2 linked regions of the Cricetulus griseus genome follow. The main gene of each other region encodes a partner of the protein of the gene in region 2 in a complex. Links are inferred from orthologs where the notes say so. Each region holds a gene or a part of one and is shown on either strand. Other genes may lie near its edges. The genes, in order: Bbip1 and Bbs4.

Region 1 (4,374 bases), on a different chromosome or scaffold from region 2:
TTCTTAATGAACCAAGTGGAAAGGATAATCTTGATTTTGCAATTTTTAATAAGCAGTGTGATCATAGAAACAACAGGACCAATTAGATCTTTCGGAAGAATTTCAGGGAGAAAATAACATCACCTAAATTGGATTGTGGCCAGATGGACAGCAGTTGCTGTGGCATCTGCTGTGATAACATCAAGATTCATGCATTTGAATTACAGAGCTACACATCTTTCAACAGCTGTCTGCAGGGTGCCAGGACTTGAAACTCAAGAAACTATTCTGACATCAGTATATTTACTGTAGATGTCATTGCAAAGTAGCAACATTTATTAAAGGGAGACAGTCTTTATTGCCAGCTCAGGGTACTAGTAAATCCTCGATATACAGGGAAATTAAATGCCAAAGCCTCCGTGTGCTAAATGGGATGAACTTTGCTAATAACACATGGCAAGGGTACAGGCAGTTGCATTTGAGAACACAACTGGCAAAAGAATACTGTTAATGTAGTCATGTACAAGAATCATTTTTTAAACCATTTTTTCTTTATATGTTTGTCTCTCTATTTATTTTTGTTTTATGTGCATTGGTGTTGGGTCCCGGAACTGGAATTACAGAACTGGGTGCTGGGAACTGAACCCAGGTCCTCTGAAAGAGCAGCCAATGAGCCATCTCCCTAGCCCCAAGAAAGAATCTTAATCAAGCCTCTGGTCTGACTTTTAATTCACATGAAGTAAGGGAAGGGATCCTTTTTTAACAATACCTCTGGGTTGACCTTTCCAAATGTCAGTGTCACAGAGGGGAAGAAGATGGGGACAGTTCCAAAGTTAAAGAGTGGTAATGTCCATGTATAATTCAACACTTTTGGACAGGATTCTGAGTTGTATATTCTCTATTTTATGTTACAAAATTGCTATTTTTCTTGGTTGTAATGATACTGTATTTTAACGTTTCTCTATTTTGAAATTCTTAGGAAATTCATGTAGGAAATCTTAGGGGTGTGTGCCTAACAGGAGACCTAAAGCCTATTTTTAAATAGTAATAATGTATGAATGTGAGGAGGAAAGACATGGGGATATAGTAAAATGTTAACACTTGTACACAGGTAAACGGTGTATAACTGTACAGCCGCTGAGCTTTTTCTCTCCCTTACCCTCCATCCTTTTTTGAGATAGGATTTCACTATGTATCCTGGTGGCTTTGAACTTGAGATTTTCTTGCTTCAGCCTCCTGAGTGCATCACACCTAGCTCTTTTAGCTTTGTATTGTCTTCACATTTTCACAACAAAACATATGGGAGGGGCTTATGTTGTGAAGATTTCAGAGGGTAGACCTCAGAAAACACTGAAAACCAAGGACTGTGCTCAGTCTCTGGTACAGTGAAGAACAGTAAAACTGCTAGGAGCGTCTTAGACGTCCAGGACACAGCTAATGATGCAACATTTTGTCCTGGCACTATTATGTGCAGAGCAGGTGAGTCCCACACAGACCATTCTATTCAGGCATTAAGCATAGTCATGAAGTTAAAAATATGTGAGCAGCTGATACATTAGTGACTATTATAAGATATGCCCGAAGTGCTATATAAGCTTGGAGAAAACCACTTTCTGTTGGAGAGAATTTGGAAACACATCTCCAAGCACTACAGAATCATGGACACAAAATCAAAAAAGGTGACATCAGACTAAATAACCTCAGAAGAGGCAAGAGTACTTCATTTTTGCCTGGGACATAGGTAGAGAAGGTTAGGTATCGGCAATTCTTAATTTACCTAAAAATTGTTGTGTTTATTTATTTATTTATTTATTTAGTTTTAGGTATTCAATCTGTAAATACTAGAACAATTGACTTCTTGAGTCAAAAAGCCTACAGAAGGAGCTGCTTGAGATAATGTCTTGAAGGAGACACACGGAGCATTCTAAGTGTTCTTTAAAAGGGTATTCGCCAGCATTAAGTTGTTGGCTAAGCCACAGACACGCACGGCTGGGCTGCTTGCAGAAGGGGAGGCAGGACAGAAAATGACAAGGTGGAAAGTGACAGTTGGGGTGGAAGTGGACTCTCTTTGGTGCTGGAGTCTGCGGTCCCTGCAGGTCAGGGCCGGACTCGAAGGGAACTCGGGAGGCTGGTCAGGCGCTCGCCCGCTCGCCAGGCCGGCCGGGCAGGCGCGGGCCCGGCTCCCTCCCTCCCTCCTTCCCGCCCTCCCGGGGCGGCCTCCGGGCCAGCCCAGGCGCGGATCGGGCAGCCTCGCCCCACAGGGAGCCTCCGAGGGGCGGGGGAGGGCCGGCCACCGCCCCAGCCCCGGCGGCCGGAAAGAACACCCTCCGCCGGCGGAAGCGGCGCTGGCCCGCCGGTCTCCTCCGGGCGCTCTGCAGGCGGCTCGCCCGGCTCGGCTCGCCCGCCTCACCCCGCCCCGCCGCTCCAGAGCCCCGGCTCCGCACCCCCGCACCCCCGCATCCCCGGGGCGCAGGCCGGGGCGACGACGCCCACCTCCGGGCTATGCCCCTGTCAGGAAGTGCCAGGCGCAACTTCCGGCGCGAGGGAGTTTTGAAGCTCTAGAGTGCGTCCTCCAGGTAAGAGGTCCGGCGTCTCAGGCAGCGGCCCGGACACACCCTGCAGCTCCCGAGCCCGACGCAACCGTCTGCCGTGGACGGTCAGGGCGCCCCCGCCGCCCTAGGTGTACTTACCGGGTCCTTCCTGCCTGCCTGCCTTCCGTCCTTCCTCCCCAGACCGCTCCGCTGTTGCCCGGGGTAACGGGGACCGGATGCAGGAAACGCGCGCGCGTACGTCAAACGGGAGGCCGGAAACGCCTCCTGCGCCAGTATCAATTATGGCTGCCGGGACTTCGACTGTAACTTCCGACTGGGGGGGGGGCGTTGCCCCTCTAGCCGGCTGGAGGCCTTCTCTGTGGCGGAGCTAGCCAGCGGCGCCCAGTGGGCGGGAGACAGACCGCGCACAGCGGCGGAGGAGAGGAAGAGGGCGGGGGAGAGGGATGCTGGCACCAACGTCCCTCTCTGATTGGACGGCTGCGTCTGCCCTGGCTCCGCCCATCCACCGTGCCCAGCAAATGCCAGGCTGGCTCGGGCGGGCCGGGGCGGGGCGATCGGAGCCGGAGTGTGTGGAGGGGCGGGGCGAGTGGGGGAGGGGCGGGGGGCGGTGGCAGGGGCGAGCGTCGCTGTGGGAGCGGAGGACGAGGAGGAGGAGGAGGAGGAGGAGGAGGAGGAAGGAGGTGAGCGGGGATGATGGTGGAGTCCGGGCTCCAGACGGCAGCCCGGGGCGGCAGAGGCGGAGGGCGCCCTTGGGTCAGCGCTGTCGCCTTGCTGCCCGCCGGGCGGTGCGGACGGCCGGCCGGCTGTCGGTAGGGGGAGGCCCGGCTCGTCCTGACAGGCGCGAGCCTCCGGGGCCGGGCGAGGCCTGACGGCTCCGGGCCCGGGGAGGCGCCGCGGCCGCTTTCCGGGGCGCCACGGCCCGGGGCGCCGGGTCTCGCAGCCGCTGCCGCACGCGCCGGCCCGGGCGGGGCGCCGAGAGAGCGGCGGCCCCAGCGGGCGGCCTACGAGCGCGGCCGGGACAGCGCCGGAGCTCGGGCGCGGGCCCGGGCGGACGGTCAGTGGCTCGCTCGCTGGCGCGGGCTGCTCGGCTGCGGGCTGCTCGGCTGTGGGCTGCCGGGATCGCGGGACGGCGGGATCGCGGGGACGGGCGGAGGCGGGGGCGCGGCGGGCCGCGGGTGGGTGGGGCGTCTCCCCTGCGCCGCCGTCCGCTTCCCACCGGACCCTGCGCGCAGAGCGGCGGATGGCCTTGGGTGTGTGCGTGCGTGTGTGTGCGTGTGCGTGTGTGTGTGTGTGTGTGTGTGTGTGTGTGTGTGTGTGTGTGTGTGTGTGCGTGTGTGGCCGGGTGAAAGGAGTTGTGGCCGCCGCGACCGCCCTGTTGAACATGCCCGACGGCAGCCTCCGTGCTGCTCCGCGGGCTGGAGGAGGAAAGTAGTGTAACTCCCCGCCCCCAGCTCGCAGCGCCCGAGGCTGCCGGGCAGAACGATTTTCCCCAGCCCCTCGGTATCCATTGTTTTGTCCCGTCCCCTCCCCCATGCCTAGGTAGAAGAATAAGGACTCCCAGGCAGTCATTTGCCCGCCTCTCCCCCTTCCCGCCCCCCCCCCCATTCCCTTTCAGAGGGTTTGTGTGATGAGCTGTGCAAGTCGAGGTGTCCAAACAGGTGGAATGCACGTCACTATCTGGGAATTGCAAAGGAGACGCTTTTGGGCTCTTTTCCGTCTCATCTCACCTTTACACTTGGACATTTGATTTTCTCTCTGGTGGTTTGTATAAAAGAGGAAACCCTGGTTTTGTGACCTACACCACAATGTTTTTGAGGACTCTAGGGAGGCTAAAGTAAAATTA
Region 2 (3,811 bases):
TTGAAATTATTGTTTTACATGTTTGAGTGTTTTGTCTGAATATATGTCTGTGTATCATGTTCATGCCTGGTGCTTGTGGAGGCCAGTAGAGAGAGCATTGGAGCCCTTGGAACTGGAGTTAGATGGTTGTGAGCCACCATGTGGATACTGGGAGAGTAGTATACTCTTAACAAATTGAATCACCTTCAACCTTCCAAAATAGTATTCCTATGAAGAATTTCTGTGATCTGCAAAAAGACCAGTTACCTAGTTATAGATGCTGGGGGCAGAGTGGGTAGGTGGAAGTTAGCTTATTACAGATTTTATCTTACTAACCCTTTACTTGCTTTTACCCATTTGGTAATGACTGGTTGGATTAAAAGGCTGGGCAGTGGTGGCACATGCCTTTAATCCCAGCACTCAGGAGGCAGAGGCAGGCGGATCTCTGTGAGTTCGAGGACAGCCTGGTCTCCAGAGCGAGTGCCAAGATAGGCTCCAAAGCTACACAGAGAAACCCTGTCTCGAAAAACCAAAAAAACAAAAACAAAAAAAATAAAAATAAAAGTTATCCAAAGGCTTTCTCTAATGTGTTATCTTATCTCCTCCTCCTCCAGTTTTTCTGATGCCAGCCTTTTCTTCCAAGAATATGGTTTATTTTCTGTATTTTCTTTTGCTTGGCAGCACTGATTTTCCGCCTGGAAGGAAATATCCAAGAATCCCTGGAACTCTTTCAGACATGTGCTGTTCTCAGCCCTCAGTGTGCTGATAATCTCAAGCAGGTGGCCAGATCTTTGTGAGTATTGGAGCAGTCACAGAAGACCACATAAAATCCTTACTCCTAGCTGGGTGGTAGTGGTGCTTACCTTTTATCCCAGCACTAACGAGACAGAGACAGGTGGATCTCTGTGAGTTTCAGGCCAGCCTCTTCTACAGAAATAGTTTTGGGGGGCAGGGAGCGGCACGGGTTTCTCCTGAGCCAGGCAATGGTAGCATACGCTTTAATTCTAGCACTCAGGAGACAGAGGCAGATGGATCTTTGAATTTGAAGCCAGCCTGGTCTACAGAGCAAGTTCCAGGACAGCAGGGCTACACAGAAAAACCCTGTCTTGGGGGAAAAAAAAAAAAAAGGCTGGGTGGTGATATCACAAGCTTTTAATCCTAGCACTTGGGAGGCAGAGGCAGGTGTATCTCTGTTAGTTCAAGGCCAGCCTGGTCTACTAAACTAGTTCCATGGCTACACAAAGAAACCCTGTCTTGAAAACAAAAAAGAAAGAAAGAGAAAAAATAAATGAATAAAAAGGCTTTCTCCTGAAATGCATTCTAGGGAGGGCCTGTTGCTGGCATCCAGATCCCTGATAAGTAGAAGGCTGGTGAATAGTAACTAGAGCAGACTTCAAAAAGAGCATGGATTAATCTGGAAGTCAGATAATATTAAGGAACTCAGATCTTTCTAGTTAGATGAGAACACTGTTTGTCATAGTGTGTTATACCATAATGCCTCTATAATCATATGGGCAACTCATAGCCTATTGTTCTGATATTTAGTAGAATATTTGACATATAATAAGCTTATGGTATTTTGAGTCTATGGCCTGCAAATTTCTAAGTGGAAACACTTCTGAAGTCTTCATCAACTTCTTCTGAGTGGCCTAGTGTCCATGCGGTGCTGTCTCCATGCTCTTCCCTCCATTGCCATTCATACTTGTATCATTTTTACATAAAAACTAGTTCTCTCTCTTTTTTCCTCCAAATTCATGATCAAGGAAAGAAACTTGAATTCAGGAGGAAAAGACATGCCGTTACTGGATGAGGTTGATAAATGATGGCAGTTCATGCTTAATGGCATGTCATTTGACTTTTTTTGTTTATTTTTATAGAATGTTATAGGAAGTAGTTACAGAAGAGTACCACCAACATTGGTATGTATGAGACTAAGGTCTTAGAACAACTGAGGATGCAAACCCTGTCTCCGGAGCTTCTGTTCTTGGGACATAGCACTGTCCCTTGCCTTTCCCATAAAACCAGCTCAAGTTCTTTAAAAAAAATTCAGCATTTTTTAAGACTGTGGAATATGAACTTGTAGAGTTAATCTTAAAGGAGTTTAGGTTTAGCTGGGTATGGCAGTACAAACCTGTAATCCTTGTACTTGAAGATGCTGCCATGAGGATCAGAAGTTCAAAGTCATCCTTGGTTACACAGTGAATTGGAGGCTTGCCTGAGTTACATGAGAACCTGCCTCAAAACAAACCAAAAATAATGAAATATGAATAATTGTAGGCAATATATTTTCACAGATTTCTTCTGGGAAAACATAAAGCCGCCACTGAAGTTTATAATGAAGCAGCCAAACTTAACCAGAAAGATTGGGTAAGAAATGCCATTTCTTTCTTAGCATGTTAATGGTTCCATTTATCAAGTGGCTTTTTCTTTGGAGCCAGGGTTTCATTATGTGTATAACCCTGGCTGGTCTCAGATTCATTATGTAGAGCAGGCTGGCCTCAAACTCAGACAGATCTGCCTGCCTTCTGCCTCCATAGTGACCAGCGCTTGGATAGATTCTTAGATGATCAAACTGTCTTCTTGATTTTTTTTTTCAGCATGGCATTTCTACATAACTTTGCAGGCATTGTTGTATAGCTTCCAGCTGTTAGTGTTGCTGATACTTCCTCACTGGTCTGGTTCTTGCTGTTATCCCATCTCATTTCCAAGAGCTTTAGGAGCTGAGTTGTTTTACCTTTGGAATTTGAAAGCATCAGCAGTAGATGTCTTCACTGCATTTTTTTGTATTTTCCCCCTATCTACCTGGCAATCAGTCAGCTGTTTCTTTTGCCTTTCTTTGGGTCATGATAATTTTAAGTGACTCTTTATTTTCCTTCCATCATCTTCCCTTTCTTATTAGTGTATATTAATTGTAAAAAAACAATGGTTTTCACTGTGACATTTTCATAGTTTGATCATAGTCACCTCCTGTATTTCCTTATTTCCATCATGTATTTATATAAGTTGGGGATTATGTACAATACAAAATCAGACTAAACATTCTCTTTACAAATTAATGGATCCCCCCCCCCACCCATGAAAATCCACATCACTGATTTTGGCATTCATTTGGTAGTCCTAGAATTTCAGGGCTGAGACTTACTCAAGGCTAGTTAAATGGTGACTGCTGTAGCTCAGAAGTATTAATTCTTAGATAAGGAGCTCCAAGAAGCAAGCAAGAGCAATCCCTGATAGAGCCTGTGTTTCAGCCGCAGCCTTTAAAAGGAAAGTACCATTTAAATCTTCAATTCAGCTGGCATAGGACTCCCTAGTAAAGTGTCTGTTGTACACTGATTGTCACTTCCTATCAGACACAGCAGCTCTGTGGCTTTTAACTTGCCTCTCGTTTTCTATTATTTTACTCTTTACACCCATTTTTACATCTTTGCATTTCTCAGTCTTATCTCCCAGATCACTGTTTTTGCTATTAGCTGTATATTTCTAGTAGCCTATCCTTTCTCTTAATTTCAGTAGTTGTATTCTGATTTCTAAGTAGTTTGTCTTCTCTCTCTTCCTCCCTCCCTCTCGTCTCTCCCCGTCCCTCAGTCTGTCCTTCCCTTCCTCCCTCCCTCCCTCTTATTTGTTTGTCTGTTTGAGACAGGGTCTCACTGTATAGTCCTGGCTGTCCTTGCACTTGCTCTGTAGGCCAGGCTGGCCTCAAACTCAAGAGTTCTGCCTGCTTCTGCTTCCTGAGTGCTGGGATTAAAGTTGTGCACCACCATGCCTGGCTTTTCTTTTCTGTCCCCACCCCCCTTCTCTTATAGCACCCTCTCCAAATCTTAGTCTTGAAGTT

What was found.
Region 1: the proteins of Bbs4 (region 2) and Bbip1 are in contact, whole or in part, in a cryo-EM structure (PDB 6VBV), measured with the Bos taurus proteins. The link is inferred for Cricetulus griseus from reciprocal best matches to the Homo sapiens genes BBS4 and BBIP1. Residues at the interface, in NP_001069424.1 of Bos taurus: Leu210, Leu213, Tyr236, Leu240, Ala241, Ser244, Gln247, Thr248, Ser269, Pro271, Asn274, Asn275, Met278, Phe281, Gly282, Lys284, Tyr298, Leu299, Pro301, Leu302, Asp303, Trp304, Lys305, Ile306, Tyr308, Asn309, Leu312, Leu315, Thr316, Gln318; in XP_003587939.1 of Bos taurus: Met7, Phe8, Arg9, Glu10, Val11, Leu12, Pro13, Lys14, Gln15, Gly16, Gln17, Leu18, Tyr19, Val20, Glu21, Asp22, Leu28, Lys30, Pro31.

What each region holds. Positions count from the first base shown.
Region 1 is NC_048596.1:7,612,900-7,617,273, reverse strand, and holds the start of Bbip1 (BBSome-interacting protein 1), read right to left. Parts: upstream 2,826-4,374; 5' UTR 2,670-2,825; intron 2,556-2,669; exon of another isoform or gene 2,345-2,555; intron 1-2,344.
Region 2 is NC_048597.1:170,886,856-170,890,666, reverse strand, and holds part of Bbs4 (Bardet-Biedl syndrome 4 protein), read left to right. Parts: intron 1-660; coding exon 661-772; intron 773-2,273; coding exon 2,274-2,346; intron 2,347-3,811.